3 linked regions of the Zea mays genome follow. Each later gene encodes a partner of the first gene's protein in a complex. Links are inferred from orthologs where the notes say so. Each region holds a gene or a part of one and is shown in the gene's direction. Other genes may lie near its edges.

Evidence for each region.
Region 2: THO complex subunit 5B-like (region 1) and THO complex subunit 3-like share a complex: the UniProt entries of both Arabidopsis thaliana proteins name them as parts of the THO complex. The link is inferred for Zea mays from reciprocal best matches to the Arabidopsis thaliana genes THO5 and TEX1.
Region 3: THO complex subunit 5B-like (region 1) and THO complex subunit 6 share a complex: the UniProt entries of both Arabidopsis thaliana proteins name them as parts of the THO complex. The link is inferred for Zea mays from reciprocal best matches to the Arabidopsis thaliana genes THO5 and DWA1.

Annotation. Positions count from the first base shown.
Region 1 is NC_050100.1:218,463,617-218,471,541, forward strand, and holds the start of THO complex subunit 5B-like, read left to right. Parts: upstream 1-2,690; 5' UTR 2,691-2,751; coding exon 2,752-2,982; intron 2,983-3,070; coding exon 3,071-3,361; intron 3,362-4,239; coding exon 4,240-4,576; intron 4,577-5,933; coding exon of another isoform or gene 5,934-5,936; coding exon 5,937-6,268; intron 6,269-6,403; coding exon of another isoform or gene 6,404-6,493; coding exon 6,494-6,741; intron 6,742-7,081; coding exon 7,082-7,661; intron 7,662-7,742; coding exon 7,743-7,856; intron 7,857-7,925. UniProt on the Arabidopsis thaliana protein: Acts as a component of the THO subcomplex of the TREX complex which is thought to couple mRNA transcription, processing and nuclear export.
Region 2 is NC_050102.1:86,886,506-86,894,368, forward strand, and holds the start of THO complex subunit 3-like, read left to right. Parts: upstream 1-2,923; 5' UTR 2,924-2,948; coding exon 2,949-3,068; intron 3,069-3,856; coding exon 3,857-3,952; intron 3,953-4,572; coding exon 4,573-4,702; intron 4,703-5,197; coding exon 5,198-5,286; intron 5,287-5,838; coding exon 5,839-5,907; intron 5,908-7,222; coding exon 7,223-7,280; intron 7,281-7,416; coding exon 7,417-7,516; intron 7,517-7,863. UniProt on the Arabidopsis thaliana protein: Acts as a component of the THO subcomplex of the TREX complex which is thought to couple mRNA transcription, processing and nuclear export. Contributes to the integrity of the endogenous trans-acting small interfering RNA (ta-siRNA) pathway.
Region 3 is NC_050102.1:102,980,471-102,988,322, reverse strand, and holds the start of THO complex subunit 6, read left to right. Parts: upstream 1-2,912; 5' UTR 2,913-3,051; coding exon 3,052-3,297; intron 3,298-3,382; coding exon 3,383-3,492; intron 3,493-3,986; coding exon 3,987-4,063; intron 4,064-4,629; coding exon 4,630-4,675; intron 4,676-5,147; coding exon 5,148-5,208; intron 5,209-5,336; coding exon 5,337-5,390; intron 5,391-5,539; coding exon 5,540-5,620; intron 5,621-5,718; coding exon 5,719-5,758; intron 5,759-7,852. UniProt on the Arabidopsis thaliana protein: Acts as a component of the THO subcomplex of the TREX complex which is thought to couple mRNA transcription, processing and nuclear export.

The DNA of each region.
Region 1 (7,925 bases):
AACAATGCTCAAGATATTGATCTTGCTCTCAACAACACTCTCTCTCTAAAGGTTTATAATTGTGTCTCTACACAACTTAGAGAGAAATACGCAAGAGAGGGAGAGCAAAATGATTTGCAATGAGTCTACAAAGTATTGCTGCACTTGGGAGTCTTCGACACACGTAGATGGACGCCTAGGGGGTCCTTTTATAGACCCAAGGGAGCCCCTAGCCGTTGGTTCTTCAAATGGGAAGCAATCAACCTTCCCTGTCTGCGTGTGCACCGGACTGTCTGGTGCACACCGGGCAGTGATCGTAGCTGATTTATTTCCTTTCATGATGAAGCCGACCATTTCCACCCTTTGGCCACTTGGCATACTGGACAGTCCGGTGCGACTTGATAACCGTTGGTTTGGCTGACGTGACCGGCGTTGATTACGCGACCGACTGTTGGGCAGGCGTGCGGTTGGCGCACCGAATAGTCTCGTGTACACCGGACAGTCCAATGATTTATAGTTGCAGCGCCCCCAACTACTTCCCAAGAACGGTCTGTTCACCGAGGCATCAACCTGGGCACCAGACACTGTCTGGTGCTCCCAGACTGGTGCAACTTATTTACTCCAATTTGTCTTCTTTTGGGATGATCCCTGGCACCTAGACACACATAGTTAGCCACTAAAACAATTGACTAAGTCTTGTGATCATACCTCTTCAATCCAGGATTTATAATCTACTTTAGACAGAGCTTCAGAACCATCAAGTCAACTTGACTTGATTTAGATTAATACACATAAGCTCCAACACCTTGCAAAGGCTACATAGGACATATACAAACACATAAACAACCCATACTAAAGGTCAAAGTAAACTTAGCTCTTTTGGACTGCTTCCAGTTCTGATTTTAACACTACTCCTTCTAGTGACCTTGTTCATTTATCGAGTTTGATCTTGAGCCTTATGACTTACACCACATATTGTAGACGTTATCTCGTTGGTTGTAAGTCATGTCCTTATGTAGTGATCCTTGATGCACCATAACTCTTATTAGCTCGATCAACCTTTACTTTGCAAGTCTTCTTCACCCGTGGCTTTGGGTTCCTCGGTTTCCTTGACCTTCTCCCGTGCAATCGGTACCTCGAAGCTCTTCTTGCCTCCATCCTTGGCTTGATCGGTTGTATCTGAGTTACGCACACCGAGTCTCACTTAAGCATTGTCCATCTTACATGTGATGTCCATTGTCTATAGATATTCCCGTCTTTGGACCATCACACTTGTTCACTTGTATTGAACCCTATTAGCCTTGCATTAAGCACCTGTTCAACAATTAGCACACTGGTTAGTCCTTTAATTGGGTTGTCAACCAAACCACCAAAACCCACAAGAGAGCTTTCAGATGTAAACCTCGATAAGTTTTCAACGATTTTTGGTGTTTTTTGTCATTTTCAGACTTATACGTGAATTATTTTTTGTGTAAATTTCGATTCACTAGTGCTTTTCAACCGGATTTCGGTTCTTTTTCATCAAAAAGATCATTTAGCCATGTAAAAGTTTAATTTTTAGTACATTTTAGTGTGGTGTATATATACATTTACACATGTCATTGTAAAATCCAAAATACACAAGTATACATAAATTAACACGCACTGCCCATATAATTTTCATATAACATATATATCCCTTGCACAGACTACTCATCAAATATATACACATACATTGAAGAAAACCAATAATCAAGGTGATGGTGGTAACAATGATAATGGTAGCCATGGGGATGATGGAGACGACGACGATGGTAGCCACGGGAATGGTAGAGGTGAATGTGATGTTGGAGCATATGGTGCTAGGGGTAGGCATGCCTCCCAAGTTATGGGACACCTCATCCACAACGATGTCATTCGTTTGCAGACCTATTGATGATGGCAATCACAGACAATTATCTCTAGTTACAACTATCCGCCTCGACGTGACCAATACCTACATACGTATGGCAAGGATTACTAGGTGAACTACAATCACCATTCATGAGTACTTGTTTTTATTCATATATGTATAGGAAATTAGTCAAGAAATGCGGATTTTGATTCTTTGAATTTGAAAACGTAAACCATTTAGGAAAATGTAAAATCCAGACAAATTTTGGTTAATTTTCTGTTTTCGGAAACGAGCGAAAATTTGGTTAAAAAACGGGATGAGTAACCGTGACTCTGTTTTTGGTTAAAAACAGGATGAATAACCGTGACTCTGTTGAGTAGATTCCAATTATTTTCAAAATGAAGCGATACAAACGGTCCTCAGACCGTGTCCAACAATTCACCCCTATGGTCACCTAAAAATACTGTTTTGCACTATTTTATACTATTTTGCACTGCAGACTATCTCGTTCATAGAGTGAAGTTTGAATATATGTATGAGGATGTGTAAGCTTATAGAGATAGCCTTAGAGGTTGAAATGAAATTTCTTTTTAAAAATTGATGTGCCACTAGGTTTCGATTTTTGAGTTTTTTATAAAAGTACAGTCAGAACCTGATTTGGTAATAGGATTACTTGAGGATAAAACTCTTGCAGAGTTCAGATTAGTTTTTTTTCTAAAATAAAGAAGTTACTTCCTACAGTAGACGTGTGGGCCGAGAGATGTTCTAACTTGTAACTTGTCTCGGAAACAGCGGCCCAGCCGCCCAAATATCCCAAAGACGGATCCGACACACTTCCGAATTCCGATCCACCCACTTCATCACCAAGGCCGTCGTCTCTCCCCACGCCGGCCGAACGGATGGCGGCGGCGCCGACTGCGGATGCCATGGACGTCGACGCGCCGGCTAGGACGCTGACTACCTCTCCGGCCACCAAGTTGCGCTCCCCTCACGACCTCCTGGCAGAGACACGCGCCTCCATCGAGAAAGTCGCAGCCCGGATACTCGCCATCAAGAAAGACGGCGCCCCCAAGTCGGAGCTCCGCGAGCTTGTCACTCAGATGTCTCTGCACCTCGTCACGCTACGCCAAGTACGTCGGCGTCGCGCTCCAAAACCTACCCCACATCCAAAACCCTACATGTAGATCTGCTGTGCTAAGTTGAGTTTGATCCGCGCAGGTGAACAGAGAGATACTGATGGAGGAGGACAAGGTCAAGGCGGAGACGGAGGCCGCGAAGGCGCCGGTGGACTCCACGACGCTGCAGCTGCATAACCTGTTGTACGAGAAGAACCACTACGTGAAGGCCATAAGAGCGTGTCTTGACTTTCAGACGAAGTATCCGGGGATAGAGCTTGTGCCCGAGGAGGAGTTCCAGCGTTCCGCGCCCGCAGACATCCTTGAGAAGACCCTCGCTGCCGACGCCTCCCACGACCTCATGCTCAAGCGCCTCAACTTTGAGCTCGTCCAGGTTGCGTATTGCTATATTTTGCAACCCTGTAGGAACTATGGAACTCTACCTGCTGCCAATTTGCTGTACTCTGTTAGTCTGTTTGGTTCCCTGTTTGAGGGACTTAAATATGAACAGCCTACATTTTGAGCTATGGTAGCTGTTGGTAAATTACATACCACTTTAAGCCTAGCATACATGATTCTTTTTGGAGAATTTATAATTTAGAACTATACTCGATAGTGGATGAAGTTACACCACCGCTTGCTTTTGATGCAAATCATCTGGTGTATTGTTTCTTGACAAGCTGATTTTTCACGCATTTTTGGATAAACTGTATTCTGCTGTGCTTGAACTCCGTTTAGTTTTCAAATTCTATGAAACTTACTAAAATATTTGCAGTCACCTGACAAACTTATTGTTGGCTATTGGCTTGATAAGCTGATCGTATCACACATATTTTGCTGAATTATATTGTGCTCTGCTTCAACTTCTTTTAAAATTTACATCTTATTCCTAGGAGGCTAGTTGAGTTTTGCACTTACTATAGTATTTGGATTATTTGTATCACTATTAAGTATTACCTAATAATAATTGTAGCATAATGAAAATTTCTATAATCTATTTTTAAGAAGACTGCACATATATTCTTCATTGTGCTCAGGTTGTTTACCATCACTTTTGCTCTCATGTCTTAAGTTGATCACCATCCAGTCACATGTATTCTTTTGCTATTGTGTTGCACCTTTTATATTTCTTTTATTTATTTCCGCACACGGTTTGAACATTTTAAGGACAGTAGTTCTATACTCTATTAGGTGATGCTAGCGTTCTCTCATTTGCGCTGTTTCCATGATTTCATTGCTGGCTTCTAAAATAGATTTTAAATTGTAAACCAGAGGAAAGAGTTATGCAAGCTACATGAGAAATTAGGACAACAGAGGGGCAGCTTGCTGGAGACAATTGCTAATCAGAAAAAGTTTCTTTCAAGCCTGCCATCACATTTGAAATCATTGAAGAAAGCATCACTGCCAGTGCAGCAACAGTTGGGGATGCAACATACCAAGAAACTAAAGCAGCACCATGCTGCTGAGTTACTTCCTACTCCGCTTTATATAGCATACACTCAGCTGCTAGGGCAGAAAGAAGCATTTGGAGAGAATATTGAAGTAGAGATCGCGGGAAGCACAAAGGATGCCCAAATATTTGCTCAACAACAAGCCAAGAAGGAAAACAGTACGTATGCATTTGCTTGATACTCCTTCCATCTACTCCATCTGTTCTGTTATACCAGGATTATTCTCGTTTTTAATTTTGGCCATAATACTGGACGGGCTGGAGTATCAAGGGCACTTAATTAGACCACTAAAAACCGAAACGTCTAATGCATGTGAATAGCCCAGCGCTGAAGCATGCCATGCATGTAGTGGCACCTTCGGTTCATTGAATGAAGGCATGGATGCAAACGTGGCTTGTATACTGCTGAGCAGGAACTGAACAATGGTTAGAGCATCCCCAATGGGCTAGCTTAGAGCTAGTTGAGACCATTTCGCTGAATAGTGCAAAAGACAAGAGGCTAGCGTGGAGTAAAGAGATAGTCTCACACGTTTCACGATGCCCCTCTTTCTCACACAATATGATATAAATTGCTATTGGCTCTCTCTTCCACGTTTGCTAGCTTAGAGCTTGTACTAGCTCATATTGTTGGAGATGCCCTTAGACTTTGTGGTTAGGGACACAGATGACTATGTGAGTTAATATGATTTGCATGTGATTGAAGGTCTTGGTATCTATAAACATCCTTATCACGCTTGGTAAAAGGGAATGGAAGGACTGGTATTCACATGCGTACTGGGTCTGGAAAAGTATCCGGCATGTACAGGCGCAATAGCTATTTGCATGCAGTTGCATGCGTTGTTTCCTGTTTACGTGCACCCACTCTTCCTGTAATCCTGTATGCAGTTATTGTAACTCCTTGTTTACCCAGTCAGCGGTGTGCAGGCGGGAATCTGGTCATTGTGGGAGCATGCGTGTTGCAATAAGCATGGCGACACATGCATGCAGTTATATTGTGTGGCATGCAAGCTGGCAACTGCTTGAAACTGAAGCGTTTTTGCGGCTGTGAGGTCCTGGTGAAAATTGTTTAAGCGCCTGTGAACACAAGATGTAGGGAATATGTCACAGCTATGTGTCCTTGCAAAGTTGTGTTTATCTGTTCTGTGTTTCTCTATTCTTGTTTTTATGTAGAGAATCAATGATGTCCTCATAAGAACCTATGATTGATGGTACAGTCTCTATAAATTCTTTCTTTAGGTTACCGTGTTGAGGTTGGTGGCTTGGTGCTTTGGGACATTTAACGTAAACCAAACAGCTTGTGTTTAGTGTTGCTGCATAGCAATCTTTTCCTGTAGGTTGTGGTCTATTTTAATATTCCTAACTGATAACAGCATTCTTGTAGTGCATAGTTGCTTAATTATTCATCTTTTTAAACCAGAGTCTAGAGATAAGTAATCTTTTGTCCATTGCTGGATCTTCTGTTCTTAAAGCTTCATGGCAGGCTTGGAAATTAGTGTGTCTCATATGTATCTTGTAGCAGGCACTCTTTCAAGTGGCGACAACAGAATGGATGATGATGTGATTGATGATGAAGAAGATGCTCAGAGAAGAAGATCAAGATCCAAAAAGAATGTGGTGAAGGAAGCTAATAATCCAGCAGTGGCCTATCAACTTCACCCACTTAAAATTATACTTCATGTATATGATACTGAAGATTCTGGTAGCAAACGCCGTAAACTCATCACCCTGAGGTTTGAATACTTGGCAAAGTTGAATGTTGTTTGTGTCGGAATTGAAGATTCAGAGGGTCTGGACAGTAATATCTTGTCCAACCTATTTCCAGATGACACTGGTTTAGATCTGCCTCACCAGGTATGTAATTTAATTCGAAGCAGATGGTTTTGATTGCTAGTTACACCATCCTTATGGAAGTTTTGGTGTTTGTTTATGTACCTACCTGTTTTTGGTTTATTTCAGCCTCACAGGCCTTTAATGTGATTTTAGCAGGGATATGTTTTGTTACTACATCTGTATCTAGTATCTTCTTGGGGCCTCTCATTTACGTCAGCTGAAATAGTGACTTGTCAATTTTCTCAGATGGCTAAGATTTATGTTGGGGAGGTTCCAAACTTCAGCGACAAGGATTCAAGGCCATACAAGTGGGCACAACATTTAGGTGGTATCGACTTTTTGCCTGAAGTGCCTCCATCTGTTGGGGATGATTCTAGCAGAGCATTAAACACTGCTGATTTGTCATCTGGGCTTGCTCTGTACCGTCAGCAGAACCGTGCACAGACTATTTTGCAGAGGATCCGCTTGCGGAAAGTTGCACAGATGGCTCTTATGTGAGTCACTGGTCTATGTTTTTTGCTGTTTGGGACATCGATGAAAAAAACCGGATGGCAGATTAGCCTGAGAGTGACCGTGTAATTTGACTGACGATTTTGAGCTAATGATGCTTTTGCTTCATTGCACATGTCATTCTGAGTTATGGCAATACTATGAATCATTTACCAGGCAGAAATTGTGAAACATACCATTTATATCTTCTTCATATGTTCTCTACATATTGATTCAAAGCTAATTATTGGCGACCTTCATTATAATGTTATTCATGACTGTTATATACATGGCCTGTTTGATTGGTAGCATCCCTTTGAAGTTTTCGAGTCTCTTTGATTACAGGTGGCAACTTGATTATTTGACAAAGCTGAAGTGGCCTCGAATAGAACATAAGAATGCACCATGGGCATCACGCAACCCACTGTGCAGTCTACATAGTTGGTCATTGACAAGTTATCCTGAGTCATCTCGTTCTATTTTGATGCTAAGTGGTGCTGCAAGCAATGTTGACAGTGATGTAGAGAGATCTGTGACAAACTGGGAAGAAACTGAGAGTATCAGGGAGGATGGGGAGCTTCCAGTTGTTATTCCTGCTGAGAATGAGCCAAATGGTTCTACAATTTTGCAACCTGAGGTGTCAGCTGAGATCCGGAGCCATTCTAGAGGCTTATCTCTTATATCAAAGAGTGCAACACCATCTAAGCTAAGCATCTCACGAAGTTTTGGTAGAAATGAGGACGATCTTGATCTCTTGATGTATAGCGACAGCGAGTTGGAGGACCAGCCCTGCATTCTTGACGAAACTGAAAAAGCTACTAGCCCGATTAGAGACAGATTCTGGGAGGAGTATGCTTCCAAGGAATTCACCATGGTCCTGAGTAAAACTATGAAGAATGGTCTAAAAGTCATGCTGGAAGCCAAGGTAAACTATGTCATCACTATTTGTTCTAAGCCTTCATGCATCTCTCCATGCTCTTGCTTCTGACATTAAGACTTATCACAGGTTAAGATAAGTATGGAGTATCCTCTTAGACCTCCCCTTTTCAGATTACGTTTGCTCTCAGAAAAGTCTGAAATTTTGAAGTGGCACAATGATCTTCGTGCAATGGAAGCTGAGGTTTGTGCTAACATATCGTGTAACATGTTTTATTTAGTGCATTTCTGAGGGTAGCTCTTAAAGCTCACT
Region 2 (7,863 bases), on another chromosome or scaffold:
TCATAAAAAATTTTGTATGCTAAAGAGTGTTCCAGAGAACCATAGGTTTTGTAAGAAGATTTGCACAACAAAGACTCTAAAAGCTATAGATTTCGAGTGCACGAGTCCTACAAAAAATAGACATGATATTTATTTCACTTCAGAAAGAGAAAACACTAAAAAATAGAACTCGAAGAAGGGGGTCCTAAATTAGTTAGTTGTTAAAGCGATTGACAAAGCATAATTTCTCTTCAAGCTGAGGAAAACATTTTTTTACATCCTGAGGGAATGGCAAAGCATCAGACTGTTCGTGATGGAGAAATCCTTTTTCTTTTGAAATAAGTGTATGTACCCTGCAATCTAAAAAATCAAAGCCAAGGACAACTTTATCTAGCAGACAAATGGAGGTAATAATTGTATGCAGATTGATTCACTACTGGATGAAATTGCATTTTTTCACAAATTGTAGCCTCCCTAAGCTCCTGGCACGAACGAAGCATACAAAGCCAAAAAACTGAACTCTAGAGGAAACAATGGCAGTAGCAGCAGATGAACTAATCTACCAGTTCTAGTAAACATGCATGAGAAATCCTAAAGGCAGCTCTGAATTGGCAAGCGAACTAACATGAGAATGGAAATGAACCTGCACCCAGGGAGGCCTTCTCGAGAGATAGGTCATGAACGCTACGAGCACCACATCAGGCAAATCCCTTGGCGACGGTGGATACGACACACAAAGAATGGAAAATCGCAGGCCTAAGGAAGGCGATTTTGGGGGAAACTTCAGTTGTAGGGCACAAAAACGCGAATTGAGGATGAGGGGGACTGAGGAGGAGATAATAAAAGGGAAGAAAGTACGAACCTTGTGTCCATGCCGCGACACTGCTTAGACGTGGGGTTGTTGTCAAGGCGCGCATCGTCGTGGTCAGAGAGGACAGTCACGTTCAGGGCTGGCGAGGACGAACCCCAACACATCTTCTCAAAGTGGAAGCTGCCTGTGGTCCGCGCTAGAGCAGGGGGCACAACAGCAGCGTCAAATCAGCCTCCATGGGGACAAATCACGGATGGTGTCAAGCGGAGGCTAGGGCTCGCGGTCGAATGCGACCTTCGCCTGACTGAAGGACAACCATACACCCGTGCCCATGCCTCCGCGTGCCGCGACGGCATGGCGACCTGCGAGGCGTGACCTGAGCACCTGCCAGCAACAGACGTTGGTCACTATAGTTGGCAGATGCGACGCTATAGCGGATGCGCGGCGACCGAACGGCGAAAGGCAAGGCCTGACCTGAGCTGGTTTCTGCACCGGACACCAAGCTCTGTAGCATGTGGGTGCGCACTGTAGCGGTGTCTGGGAGCGCGACACGAGGAGAGAGAAAGCATGCATTGGCGACACAGGCAAGGCAGGGCACGAGGGGGGCACATGTTGGCGCGTCCGATGCTGTACTGCCACGCGTCAGTAAACGTTAGGTGCCGAACCCGTGAAATGCGGTCGGTGTTTCAAACCGGGTCAGGTTTTAAGAACTTAGATATATATGCATAATTTGATGGGTTACCTATTCGGATACACCTAACCTTTTCTACCATATTCCTTGATCAAACTTGGGTATTATACTTTACCTTCGTAGCTATGCTATTGCTACAACTTAACTTTATGCAGTCACTCCGATTTGTGATATTAAGGTTCCAATTGGTAAGTTTACATTATTGTTGCTAATCCGACGATTAAGCAAGATCATATGATTTAATTGGAACATGAAGTGACCACCCGGGAAAACAGTGCTACCATGAGGGTGGTATGGGACGCCCTTGGCTAAATAACTAGGGAAGTCTTATGTTGGGTGCTGGTCGTGGTCGACCGGAACGGGGGCATCTGGCAAGCGCTTATATTTCTGGCTCAGACAGATTGGATACATGCATAATTCCCAAAGCTTTACCCTGCAGACTGGACTATAAGTTGGTTACGTTAGATGTGCTCTATGCAGTTTGACCATTTCCAGCATTTGCATAATGAGGACTCTAGGGAAAAGCCTCGTAGTGAGACCTTAGCCATTCACCTCGGAAGTGAATACAGGTCTAGCTAACCCAAGCTAGAAGGGGATCGTGACTCATGGGTAAAGATGCGCCACCTCTGCAGAGTGTAAAACTGATATATCAGCTGTGCTCACGGTTAAGAGCAGCCTAGACTCCTCACATGATAATTGAACTTGAAGATGGAAATAAATCGAGATCCGATGATCTGCCAATGGTTTGCTTAAGTGGTTTCACTTAAGTGTTTTTGATATACTCTTATACCTTTGTTTAATGGGAATACTTGGGATTCACACTTATTAGTAAGACAAGTGTTGTTAATAAAATGTTGACCAACTAAAATGCCAATCGCATTTAACTTTAGCCTTACCTTGTTACCTTGCATTTTCCCCCACTTGCTGAGCCCTGACCATAAGTGAGCTCACCCTTGCTTAAATTTTGATCAGAAGTTTGCAGATGAAGTTATGATGCTGAGCTCCATGGATGCTAGTCTATTGATACCCCCGGTCATCTTCCTGTGGATGGATGTCCATGTTTCGCTGTACTTTGATGAATAAAGGTTAAGACATTATGTCTGTTCGAAGTGTAACATGTTAATATAATCTTTATTTACGCTCTTATGTATCATTCTTTTAATATATTACACTTGTAATGTCAATATATGTGTGAAAATAAATCCTGGCACACATATGCTATGCACCCGGCTCTGTCTCAAAGAAACGGGTGTGACAGTTAAGGAATAGGTTTTTCTTTCAAAATGAAGGTTGGTAGCTTATGGAATCATGGGCCTAGATCATATTAAACAAACAGGACCTGAGTTGCTGAATGTTTTAATGTAGCCTAGCCCATCAGGCCTGGCCCGATCTCTTCATGGGCTAGTTTGTGTACTTTGGGATTGGAATTGGATTACTCCCCTCCCGGACAAAACGGGGCGAGAGCGCATGGAGAGCAGAGAGGAGGAGAGGAAGGGCAGCGGTGGCGCCGCCGCCGGCGGCGGCTCGACCCCTGGGGCGAATCTAAGGGACCTGGTGTCGAGGGAATACTACGGCCACAAGAAGAAGGTAATACCTCTCAACGCCTCCCCAATATCCCATTATAATTTCTTCTGAGCCCCTATAAAACCCAGAATCTCGCCAGAAGAAAGGTTTCGAAGTTCCAATCATTAGGGTTGCAATTCGTAGGGTGAGGCCCTAAATTCCGGCCTTGCATGCAGAATGATGAAACAAGGTGCGGAAGTAACAATCTTTGGGCCTTCCGGTTTGGTTCCTGAGAACATAGATGGGATCGTGGACCTATCTTGCTTTCGATTCGAAGCTATAAGCGTGGAGAGGGGATTTAGCTATTTCTTCTCTTTATATAGAGCATGAAAGGAGTCAATGTTAAGGCATGATGAAAACGAAATATTGCTGCAGCCACAGTTAGTTGCAAATGAATTTAGTTGCAATAGGCAATCTATTTTGGTTGTCCTTTGTTGCAGCAAAGGGGCCGTGGTGCCTGTCCTTGCAGGGGAGCAAGAGCAGTTTTCCTCTGGTTCTATAAAGAAATTTGAGATTATCTTAGGGCATGTTGTAAAGTTGCAATGAGGAGAAATAAGAAGGAATGATCTTTCTTTCAGGATGAATATATGACATTCTGAGGATGTTTTTTCTTTGTTTCTTACATTATGTTGAATGTGTTGCTTAATTGTCCTTAACTCCTCATAGCGATCTTCAAAGCAAAACCACTCTACCCTAGTACTTGTCGGTACAAAATTTAGATTGATTTGTGGGTTCTTATTTTTGCTTTGTTTTATGCATTTCTTTGGTAATCTTATCATTGTGTTCACCATTCTGATAGTTTTTATCATTAGGTGCACTCTGTAGCATGGAACTGCCTAGGCACAAAGCTTGCTTCAGGATCGATCGATCATACCGCACGTGTCTGGAGCATTGATCCACATGTCCATGTAACTTTCTCTCCTTCTGTCCTTGGTACCAAATTTATCTTTACAGAATGGGATACGCTCCCCACTGTTTTCTTATTAAGATAATGATCGGTTTGGTAAATTTTGAAAATCTGCATAACTGGTATATTCCCTATCTTATAGAACCTAGATAATAAGTTATGACATTGAACTTAAGAAAGCATTAGTTTGCGTGATATGCCAAAGAGGGACAAATGCTTCTCATCTGCACCTCCCTTTTAACTTCAAGCTTTGGCTATTGCAGAAATTGTGACAGGTACTTTACAGTAATATTCCTGTTTCTTTAGCTTGTGCGCAATATAATTTACTTTTCAGTTTATCAGTTATTGTGGTGTAACTCAACATATAATGTTCTTATAGTGCAACGAAACCTTTACCATAATTTGTAGCACGAGACGTGGTTTTATTCTGAACCGATGGAATCTTCAGAGTAAGCTGTAGAGTTTTGAATAACTTTTAACTAGAGTATATTACCTTGATTCTTAATAATAGCCCTTTCTATGCTTTTCTATTTGGTAGCAGAGAGCCAGAGAGTGTAATTTCAGCGTATGTTTCTATACCATTGAAAGATCTAAATGGGAACTTGTGCTAATTTGTTACAGTCTAAGGTTAAAGATATTGAACTGAAAGGCCACACAGATAGTGTAGATCAGCTTTGCTGGGATCCAAATCATCCTGATACAGTTGCTACTGCAGCTGCTGACAAATCTATTCGTCTTTGGGATGCTCGAAGTAAGTAGCACAGTTCATCCATGATGTTGCTAGAAAGCACAGTTTTTCTTTAGCATTTCATAATGCATTTAGCATTATACTTCTTAAAATCTATGAAATACATCTTTTATTTTGACTGCATCTGGATCCATATAAATTTCTATAAGCTGGTAGAAGCGAAGTTCATTCAGCTTTTGAGATTGTGGAAGCGGGCTTGTGAAGATGGTGGGTGTTTGGAGACCATCCTAGCTTCTACAGGCTCGAACCTGGAATCTGATAAGATCCAAACAGGCCCTTTGTTATTTCCTACATTACCCCACATTTACAACAAATTTGATGTGGAAAGATCTATTATGTAATAACTTTATCTGGAAGCTATTTTGTCATATGTGACATCTGGCTTTCAGATGATATATGTTGTATTTTTTGTTCTATCTTGGACTCTTGGTGGTAGTTTCTGTCAATCAAGTTATAATGATTTTATCTTCTCGTCAATGCTTCTTTGTGTCTTTTTAGGTGGAAAATGTCAAGTTGTTGAACTTAGTGGAGAAAACATCAACATCACATATAAACATGATGGCACTCAGATAGCTGTTGGAAACAAGGTTTGTACTGCCTAACTTTTCTCTGCTAATGCCAAGAATGGATACATTTAGAAAACTGACCTATATTAATGTGGTTAGGTTTATTTATTTACAGTAAGATGGATTGTTCTACTGTCACTTTTGGCTTATACCTTTTTCAGCAAGTACGTTAAAAAAGTTCAGCCATATTGCTATTTTGGTGTTTCTTTTCTGGAAGTCCTACAGTTTTGCATTGCTGAATCCTGTACCAGTATGGCAGTATCATAACAATATAGAATATAGAATTGGATTATGCACCTAAAGTTGTACATATAGGCATATTAATTAATCAATTAGATGGAGCTGTGACATGTTTTATTCTGTTTGGTTATAGATAAATATTCTTGAGCTTGAGAAATCTATGTAAATAATTTAAGTAATTTGTGAAAAACATGCATTTTGGGGGAGGGGGGAGGGGAATCATATAAGGTTAATAAAACTGTATCTATATGATGTTTACAAATTACTGAAACTCTAATTTTTTCAAATTATATATTTATATGTCTACAATAACAGTTTTGTTATGGTTTGTAGGAGGATGAGCTGACGATATTGGATGTTAGGACACTTAAAGTTGCTAAGAAACACAAGTCTACTTACGAGGTAATTATAAATTGAAGCTTGGATATATGAATCATTTTCTAACAACTCTTTGTTTGATCCAACTGTTCTTTGGATTAGGATGCACATATACATGTCGGTAGAAATAAAATAAAATAAAATAAAAACTCGACCTGGAGGGGGTAAGACCGCCCCACGACATTATATTAAGACCCCATGACATTATATTAAGAAGACCTCATGCAGGTCGAGAAAACCCTCGAACCCCTGCTCCACCCATAAACAGCGGCACCGTAGCCCATGTGAGAACGACTGCGACCGGGGCTGGGCCTTAGACCTGTGCTTTGGCGTGGGACAAACGAGGGTTTTTTTTAACCACAGCCTGAAAATTCACTCCTACGGGGAGTTAAACCCAGGACCTGAGGAGTGCTACTCAGAGCATCTAAACAACTCGGCTAGAGACCCTTTCGCCTTGTAGAAATAAAATGAGCAGCACTGTTCTTGTGTGCTTGTCTGAGACAATTTGATGTATGGATGTTTTTTGAGTAAATGGGTACTGCTGTATGAATTTAGCAAATAATTGAACATATACTTTATTTTAAAACTTGACTTGCGGGGGATAAGACAACCCCCATACATTGTATTAAGAAGAAGACCTCACACATGTTGAGAAAACCTCCGGACACCTGCTCCAGTGCTCCACCCATACACAGTGGCACCATAGTCCATGTAAGAACGACCACGACCAGGACCAAGCCTTACACCTATATTTTGGCATGGGACAGACAAGAGGATTTTTTTAACACTGTCTGAAATTCGCTCTCATGGGGAATCGAACTCAAACCACCTAGCTAACTCAGCTAGAGGCCCTTTCGCTCGTATACTTTATTTTAATTTGTGTATTGCTGATCATGAACCTTTCGGCAGATGAGGTTTTTTTTTCACCCCAGTATAAAATTTGCTGTCATAGGGAGTCAAACTTAGGACCTGCTACTCAGCCACCTACTCAGACCTGGGGGTGGGGGGATGGACTGATTTGCCATTTTGGCCTCTCCCTCAATGCAATGATACACATTATGTGTGTTCAAGGAAAAATGTTGCTTTCACTGTTTAATGTTTGCAACTTTGTATTATTGCTTTGTTCCTGAGATGAATGAGATCGCTTGGAATAAAGCTGGAGATCTATTCTTCATTGCAACTTTGCACTTTTTTTTTTGGGGGGGGGGGGGGGGGGGGAGGGAGGACTGATTTGTCATTTTGGCCTCTCCCTCAATGCTGATACACATGTGTGTTCAAGGAAAAATATTGCTTTCACTGTTTAATGTTTGCAACTTTGCATTATTGCTTTGTTCCTCAGATGAATGAGATTGCTTGGAATAAAGCTGGAGATCTATTCTTCATTACTACTGGGTTAGGTAGGATACTAAATGCTTTCTCCAAGCTCACGTTAATAATACTGAATAAATAAACACTGTATTTACATTTTGGCAGATTTCTAGTGCTACCATATTGTATCAGTTAATGTTTCCGCATGGTCTATTGGTCATGCAGGGCACGTTGAGGTGGTTAAGGATCTTGAGTTTTTAAAGCCCTGCAAGCTGAATGCTCATACAGCAGGGTGTTATTGCATTGCAATGGATCCACTTGATAGGTATTTTCTATTGAAGGCTCTTTATTTATTCTCGCCCCTGGTACTTCTTTGGATCACTTGGATTTGTAATTTGTACTACTTCAATTGGGTTATCTGGCCTGCTATTTGATTTAAGATGTATGTAACAGTGAACTCTATAAATATTTGACACTGATGCTTGCATGATTAATTACTTTAATTCCAATTAATACTGCCACAACCTATTCACATATATTTTGGCTATTAGAATAACAAAATTCTTTTTCTTTTTAAAAGACCAGAATAACAAGAATTATTGAAATTTTATAGCCTAGCTTCATCTCTAGGTAAAGAAGAAATTGTTAACTAATAGCAACCTCTGGGTGAGT
Region 3 (7,852 bases), on another chromosome or scaffold:
ATACTGGTTTTTACCCTATTTCTTAAATGTAATCCTAAACCACCTAGGAGGAACCGTGTTAAGAAGAGATAAGCAATTGTGCCTTGTCTTCTGAAAAGATAAAAGGTGTTTGTCTTTCAAATCTAGAAAAGACAGTTTTCTATTATGTCACATAAGTCCAACCTAGAATTTAATCATTTTTTGCACTACACATGCAATGAGAGGTGAACATAGCAACCAGTGTGGAACTACTTAAAGGTCTGTTTGTTTCAGTTTTTTTCTGACGAGCTTTTACGAGAATTTGATTGTAGGGATAATATGGATGTGAGGAGAATTTGAGTATTATGTGGATTACATGCGAAGGAAAATGAAGGGGTCCATGGGGTTTAGGATCTAGGAAGTGATGGATTCCTCCTGTCGCGACGACTCGACCGATTGTGTGTTCACGTTAATTTTGAACAACTTTCATCAAAGCGATCCTCATAGAAGCGAACTGAGAAGCTGAGCGTTTGGTAGTCCGCGACAGCTTGTGACAGCTAGAATCAGCAAAAAAGCTGAAAAACAAACAAACCCTAAGATGATGGAAGAGCAGTTCCCTTGCCATGACCAATATTTTATCAAAATACATAGCACAAGCTATGTGGCTAGAAAAAAACCAAAATATCTTATAACTTGGAAATGGAGACTTAAAAATGTTGGCTAGGACATTAGGCTATACTTACAGCCTCCTCACTTGTCATAGATAACTTCATTTGTGTTCTATAGACTATTTTAATGCATGTCACTCCTTTTTTAGCAACTGCATTTGATACATGTGATTATAACCAATGATGTGGAATGTTTTGTTTGCAATTTAGGAAGAAAACAATTTAGAAGTTCGAGTGTTCTTAGATTTAGTGGATGATAAGAAGTGGAAAATTTGGGAAGAACACAGGTAAGTGTGTGTGAGGATAATTTAATTCACTCCCATATAATGTGTGCAAGTGTACAAAATAATGAATTAGCCTGCCATGGTTTGGGCCTGTGTATATAAGGTTCTCGATACAATATGCATGTTTATTTTCATTTCTATCAGCTGATGTATTCTCATTCCTATCGGTTGATGTAACAATGAGTAATATTTTTATATTCTAGAATTCATGGGTTGGTCGATAGTGCAAATTTATTGGCCCGAAATCACTTGCCTCTTATTCCACCATGGTTATCTCGGACTGCCTACTTAGTTTAGTAGTTTGAGGAATTTCTAGCGGGCAACATGTATAAGTGTCTAGGGTTCGGTTGGAAATTGTCAATTCATGTCGCATAAGAATATGTGCGATATTGATATCAATTATAATATATGTATTGTTTGTTTTCATGTAATCGTTGTGCACTAACATTTTATCGAATAATTTGTGTGTCGTCACAACGCACGAGCATTGTACTATATATTTGAAGCACCAGCTGAATCGACATATGATCCATATGCGTTTGTATAACCTCATATATGTACTCACACCTACATGTTAATTTGGTATCTACAACCATTGGAAACAATGCCTATGGGTATCACCCTAGTGATAAATCGGAACATGCTCATAGCTCAAGGTTCAAATGTCATTTTTTGGAAAAGATGTCCATGAAAAGAAAATTAACAAATAAATAATCTCAAATCCAATTTAACCTTAAAAATCATTAGAAAAAACTACATTTATATTTAACTAAAACATGCTCTATTATTAGATCCAGTTTGAAGTTATTTGGGTATTTTATGGGTTCATTATGATGTTTATTTTATAGTAGTTATTCTTCTATCTATAATACTTATAATTGACTTGGAGGAACTAGACTTCATATAGAAGGGTGACCTCAACGATTAGAGAAGTGTTGAGGAGAGCTTTTGGTCGAATATCTATATTTGATGAAAATTGTTGCTTTAGTCTATTTTCAATTGGCTACCTCCGAACCATGTGTCTAAATCGGAGGCTTAGGTCGGCTCTCCATCAAGAAACGACAAGCCAAAGGAGAAGGAAGAAATGAAACTTTAATAGGATTGAACTACCTTAGTACGTTATCGAAGGAGGAAGAAAAGGTGTATACAACACTTCTTCCCTAAAAAAGACATAATGTTAGTCTCTAGTTGTACATAGTCTTCATATAGAGGAGTGGACATTCTTTTTCTGAGTTGGAATGTGTGTAATCTTGATCTTATAAATAAGTGTACAATGCCACTGTTACAAGGGTTGGTCACTTGTATGTCTAAGCCTGTAGCACCTTCGTGCACAAAGAGTATTAGAAGGTATGTCATCTTCAAGCACTTAAATCAGTTTAAGAAACCTTCAATACCTTCCAAAGGTTTCATAACTGCTATGTATTCCTCATCTTTGTTTAATCCAATAAAGGAGAAAGGAAAAATGTAGACCCTTGTAAATTGAATACATGCTTCGTCTACGTTATTTAATGGTACATTAGAACCCATCAAAGATAAAAAAGAGAGAGACTTTACTTTAATTGTGTTGCCCAGTTGCGTTTTTTTACAAAAGCTTCAACAAGTCACCAATAACAAATATCTTAACTAGCTCATCAACTAAGCACTGCATATGAGGTCATTACATAACACTCATAACATTGTCGAAGTCACTTTGCCCTTGCCTTATACAAAATCCATGTCACCATAATGTATCCATAGAAGATTCAAATAACTCCACAAAAGATTCTAGAAAAAGAATTCAAAATTGTTTCATATTTTTGTCGAGCAAAACCATATTTTTGTGTGAATTAGACTAGATTTTATTTTTAAAAAATTGCATAACTCCTAAGGGAGATGTTCTCAAGAAAACCATATAAATATTTTTTCTTATAAATTTATTTGTTTAAAATCATAAGGGAGCGTGCCACAAAGGCTTAAAGCATTTTGATGGAAAAGTTTAAAGATGGGCCAGAAGCCGGCGGAATTCTAGTTGAAAGAAGCCCAGCCCAACCCGCTGTCGCTTTCACTTTTCTGTCGGGAACTCGGAATTGTCCCCGTCTTCCCTGATCCCTTCGCTCCCCGAAGCAAAAGCGCAGAGCGCATCAGCGCAGAGTAGGACAGCCATGGCGACGGCGGCGGCGCAGTCCCATCCGGCATCGATGGACGCGCGCCGGTGGGACGAGTCATCGTACCGCCGCGGCATCCTCCGTGCCCGCGACCTCTCGTCCCGCACCCTCTTCCGTGCCGTCTTCTTTGACCACAGCGACGACCCGGATACCGACATCCTACTCGCCGCCGCCTCCAGCGACGGCTCCCTCGCTTCCTTCTCCCTTTCATCCTGCATCTCCGCATGTTCCGCTACCTCCCAGGTTCGTACCCTTTGGCCAGAACTGATTTTTTGGTGACGCACGCCCAGAGAGGCGTAGAGTGAGTTTTTCTTGGTCTGGTTCTCAGGTGGAGACCGCCGCCACTCTGGTAGATCCTGTCTGCATCGTGCAAGCGCACAGCGGACCTGCCTACGACGTCAGGTTTTACCCCGATCAACAGCAGCCGCTGCTCTTCAGGTGACTGACAGAATGTTTGACTTGGCATGTTTCATACACATGGCTAGTTACTAGTTGAGGCTAAAAATTCGCTTAAATTAGCTGTGGTTAGCTAGCTAGTTGGCTACCAACTAGTTGAAGACTTGGCTAAAAAAATTAACCCACCAATTTGCCCTCCTGTTCGGTGGATGCGCTAAAGCTAATTTTGGCTATTTCTTTAGCGCTAGCAACTAGCCCTTGTATCCAAACAGGCTCTTATCCTTATTGACTTCTCCAACTAGTTGAAGACCTGGCTAAAAAAATAATCCACCAATTTGCCCTCCTGTTCGGTGGATGCGCTAGAGCTAATTTTGGCTAATTCTTTAGCACTAGCAACTAGCCCTTGTATCCAAAGTTTCCAAACAGGCTCTTATGCTTCTTGACAATATTACCCATGGCAATGTGCTTCATTTGGTTGGAGACGGTGATGGGTTAATGGTTGTGCGGTTCTTTGGCTGCTTACTTCCTTGTGGCAGCTGCGGGGACGATGGCCGCATCAAGGGTTGGAGGTGGCACGAGATGCAGAGCTGCCTTGTCCCGCTCTCCCTGCAAGGTGCTGCATTCGAACTTCCATTCTTTTTTGACGTGGTTTCTTTCATAAATGGTCATATGCTTTACCAGGCCACTAGGGCATTGCGATGCATCTAGCACAGGTGCACCGAAAAAATATGCACATTTTTTACAATGGTGTAGGTTTGATGCAGGAGAAATCATGAATCATGCCCTGCACTGGCATAGATACAAATCTAGAATCTTGCCAGTGCAAGGCATGATTCATGTGAAAATGTTTCATAGTTGCTACTTATTTTATCTATGAAGATGCATCAATATCTTTTGTAGTTTTTCTGTGTGTTGCGCCTTGAAGGCCAAGTTAATATTATTTCAGTTTTTTTAATAACCAGTATAGTTGTATTGATAAAAAGTGAAACAAGGCATCTGTTGTTTTTCGTACATGAGAAAAGGTGGAAGGAACGAGCATATGTTGTTTTTCCTATAAAGGAGAAAAGGGAGAACAAACGAGTATCTGTGTGGAAATGCGCCGAAAATTGCCTAGTGCATCTTCTACATTTTGGTCATTGTTATTGCTTTTACCAATTTTTCTGTTGCCTTTGTTCACAGGGGATCATCTGGAACCAGCACTTGACTTGGTCAACCCTCAGCACGAGTAAGGATTCTGTGATAAAACTGCAATCTCAGACCTTCCAGTTTACACCGTTTATTCCAGCAGCTGCCCCCCCCACCCCCCCCCCCCAATTTACCCTGTTTGCATTGTTGCTGCTCAAGGTTATTAAAACGATAAAACGCTCATGGGTGAAGTTTTGACTTTTAAACAAAGTTTAAACTTAGTTTTGAACAACATAGGAAAAATACCAATATATCATAATTTCAGACAATAACATGAAGTTAAATACCAAAATAGAGAGGCTAGTGGCTTATCAAAACTTCACCCATGAGCCAGATTGGACCCTAACTAACAGACTGGGCCCAAAAGTAGCTAATGGTCTAAAACACATAAAACACTGCGTTTTACAGTTTAGAACGACAAAACGTGGTTTCAAGCTCTAATTAGCGTTTTGACGTTTAAACATAGTTTAAACGTAGCTTTAATAACATTGTTGCTGCTGGCAATTTTGTAGGGGTCCTTGGGGTGCTCGATCTCCAGTACCTGAAAACAATGCCATTGCAATTAATAAACAGGTTAACAACTGGAACTTTTCATGTTTTTATATCCTCCAGGAAGTGTGACTGTCCCAAATTTTCGTTCCTCATGCATATTGCTTGGTTCAACAAATCTTATTTTCTGTTATCATCATTCTTCCAAACAGGATGGATCCATTTTGGCAGCAGCGGGTGATGCATGTGCTTACTGCTGGGATGTGGTATGTATTTTCTTAAGGTAAATTGAACACACATAGAAGGAACTGCAGTTCTGCTTTAGAGTCTTTAGCATTACAAGCTTGGATAATATCAATGCTCTGTGCTTGAGAAGGTATCTGAAACTAATGCTAATCATGACTGCTTCTCTCAGGAGACCAGTAAATGTAAAATCACATTCAAGGGGCATGCTGATTATTTGCACAGCATTGCAGTTCGTGAGTCAAACCGCCAGGTTATTTGATTATCTTGGCTTTCCATTATTTGATGTTCATCTTGTCTATAATATGTACAATATGTGATATGTTACTAACTGACTTATTTTTTGATCAGGTTGTAACAGGATCAGAGGATGGGACAGCTCGTATCTGGGGTGCGGGTTTCAAACCATCATCCTTTCCTGTCTTGTGCATTGTATTTTTTTTTTCTCGAAAGAGCGCAGGAGGACTGCGCACCCATATATTAAAGTAGAGGGAAAATAAAGGGCCATAAGGACCCAGGTACAAGCACTCCTTATGGAGGCCAGAAACAAGCATACACAAAGCTATCCATAAAACTGGACAAAAAACACTACAGCCCTAGGAGCTAGGTAGTTTGGCTGGCCAAAAAGGAAAGCCCCTTGGCACCAGCCAGCCGCCACGTCTCCTGTTCATCCTCAGCAGCTTGAAGAAGGAAGGAGATAGAGGGGGTCCTTCCATCGAACACCACCTTGTTTCTATGATTCCAAATCATCCAGGCCCCTAAAGCAACAAGGGAGTCCAGTCCTTTCTTTCCCATGTTGAGGACCTGAGCCGAGGAATTCTCCCACCAACCAAGGAAGGAAGGCTCCACTTGCTGAGGGGATAAGCTGTGTAACCCAAACTTTCTCAAAAGCCTATACCAGAAAACTCTTGAGAACACACAGGAAACCAGCAGGTGATCAATGCTTTCAGGTTCTTGATCACAAAGAGGGCACCTAGCCGGATGGTTCATGCCTCTTTTCTGCAGCCTATCAGCAGTCCAGCATTTATCATGTGCCACCAGCCACAGGAAGAAATGGCACTTGGGTGGCATCCAGGATTTCCAGATTCTTTTGTGGTGAAGAAAGGAGCACGATCCCTGGAAGAGCCCTTCATAAGCAACTTTTGCTGAGTAGTTACCATCTGGCGCTATGGAAAAAATGTGTCTGTCTTCAATATCAGGATGTAGCTGAAAATCCGTTAAAGCTTCCCAGAGATGCAGAAAATCAATCAAGGCCCCTGCTGAGAGAGCGCCCCTAATATCACTAATCCATCTCCTATTGTCCATTGCCTCTTGCACTGTTCTTTTATTGGCAATTCTTTTTGATATGGTGCAGAACAGTCTTGGTGCAATATCAGCTACCTTTTTCCCATTAATCCATTTATCCACCCAAAAAAGAGTATTCGCACCATTGCCAACCTCTGACATCAACACTGCAGAGAAGAAGGACCTGGCAATACTTGGGACCTGAATGGGTAGGTCCACCCATGGCCTCGAAGAATCAGTTTTTTGCAGCCACAACCACCTCATTCTGAGAGCCCAACAAAGCTTAGTCAGGTTAGAAATCCCGAGGCCTCCCATATGTAGAGGCCTACAAACCTTTTCCCAGGCTACCATACAGTGACCTCCTTTAGCATCCTTTCTGCCTCTCCATAAGAATCCCCTTCTAATTTTATCAATTGCATCCAAAGCCCACTTAGGAAAATCAATAGCCATTGCAGTATAGATTGTCATACTAGTTAGGACATGCTGCACTAGAATTCTTCTGCCAGCTTTGTTCAACAACTCTGCCTTCCAGCTTGGGAGAAGATCTGCAATTTTCTCAATAAAGGGCAGGAGCTGCTGTTTGGTTAGTTTGTGTAGAGAAAGAGGGAGACCCAAGTATTTGCAAGGTAGGGACTCCACCCCACAAGGTAACAAGCTTTGAACCTCCAGGATGGTCTGCTCCGAACATCTGATAGGATAAATACTGGATTTCTGCACATTGTTGTGTAGACCTGAGGCATTCCCAAAGATGTTGAGAATGTCCAGAGTAGTGGAAATGTCATTCTGAGTTGGGAGCAGGAAGAGGGCCACATCGTCAGCATAAATAGAAATTCTATGAAGTTTCTTTCTGTTGGACAATTGTTGCAGCAACCCTGTCTCTTCAGCTTTGGCAAATAGAAGGCAAAGGACATCCATGACTAAAATAAATAACATGGGGGAGAGGGGATCCCCTTGCCTGAGCCCCCTTCTATGTTGGATTTTATTGCCAGGGCACCCATTGAGCAGCACTTGAGTAGTTGAGGAACCAAGTAACCCACAAATTATATTTCTCCAGATTTGGCCAAAACCCAAAGCCTGCAGCACCTCAATCAGAAAAGGCCATGAAACCGAGTCAAAGGCTTTTGTGATGTCGAGCTTAAAAAGAAGACATGCCATATTTTGCTGATGTAAAAATCTTGAAGTTTGCTGCACTAATATAAAA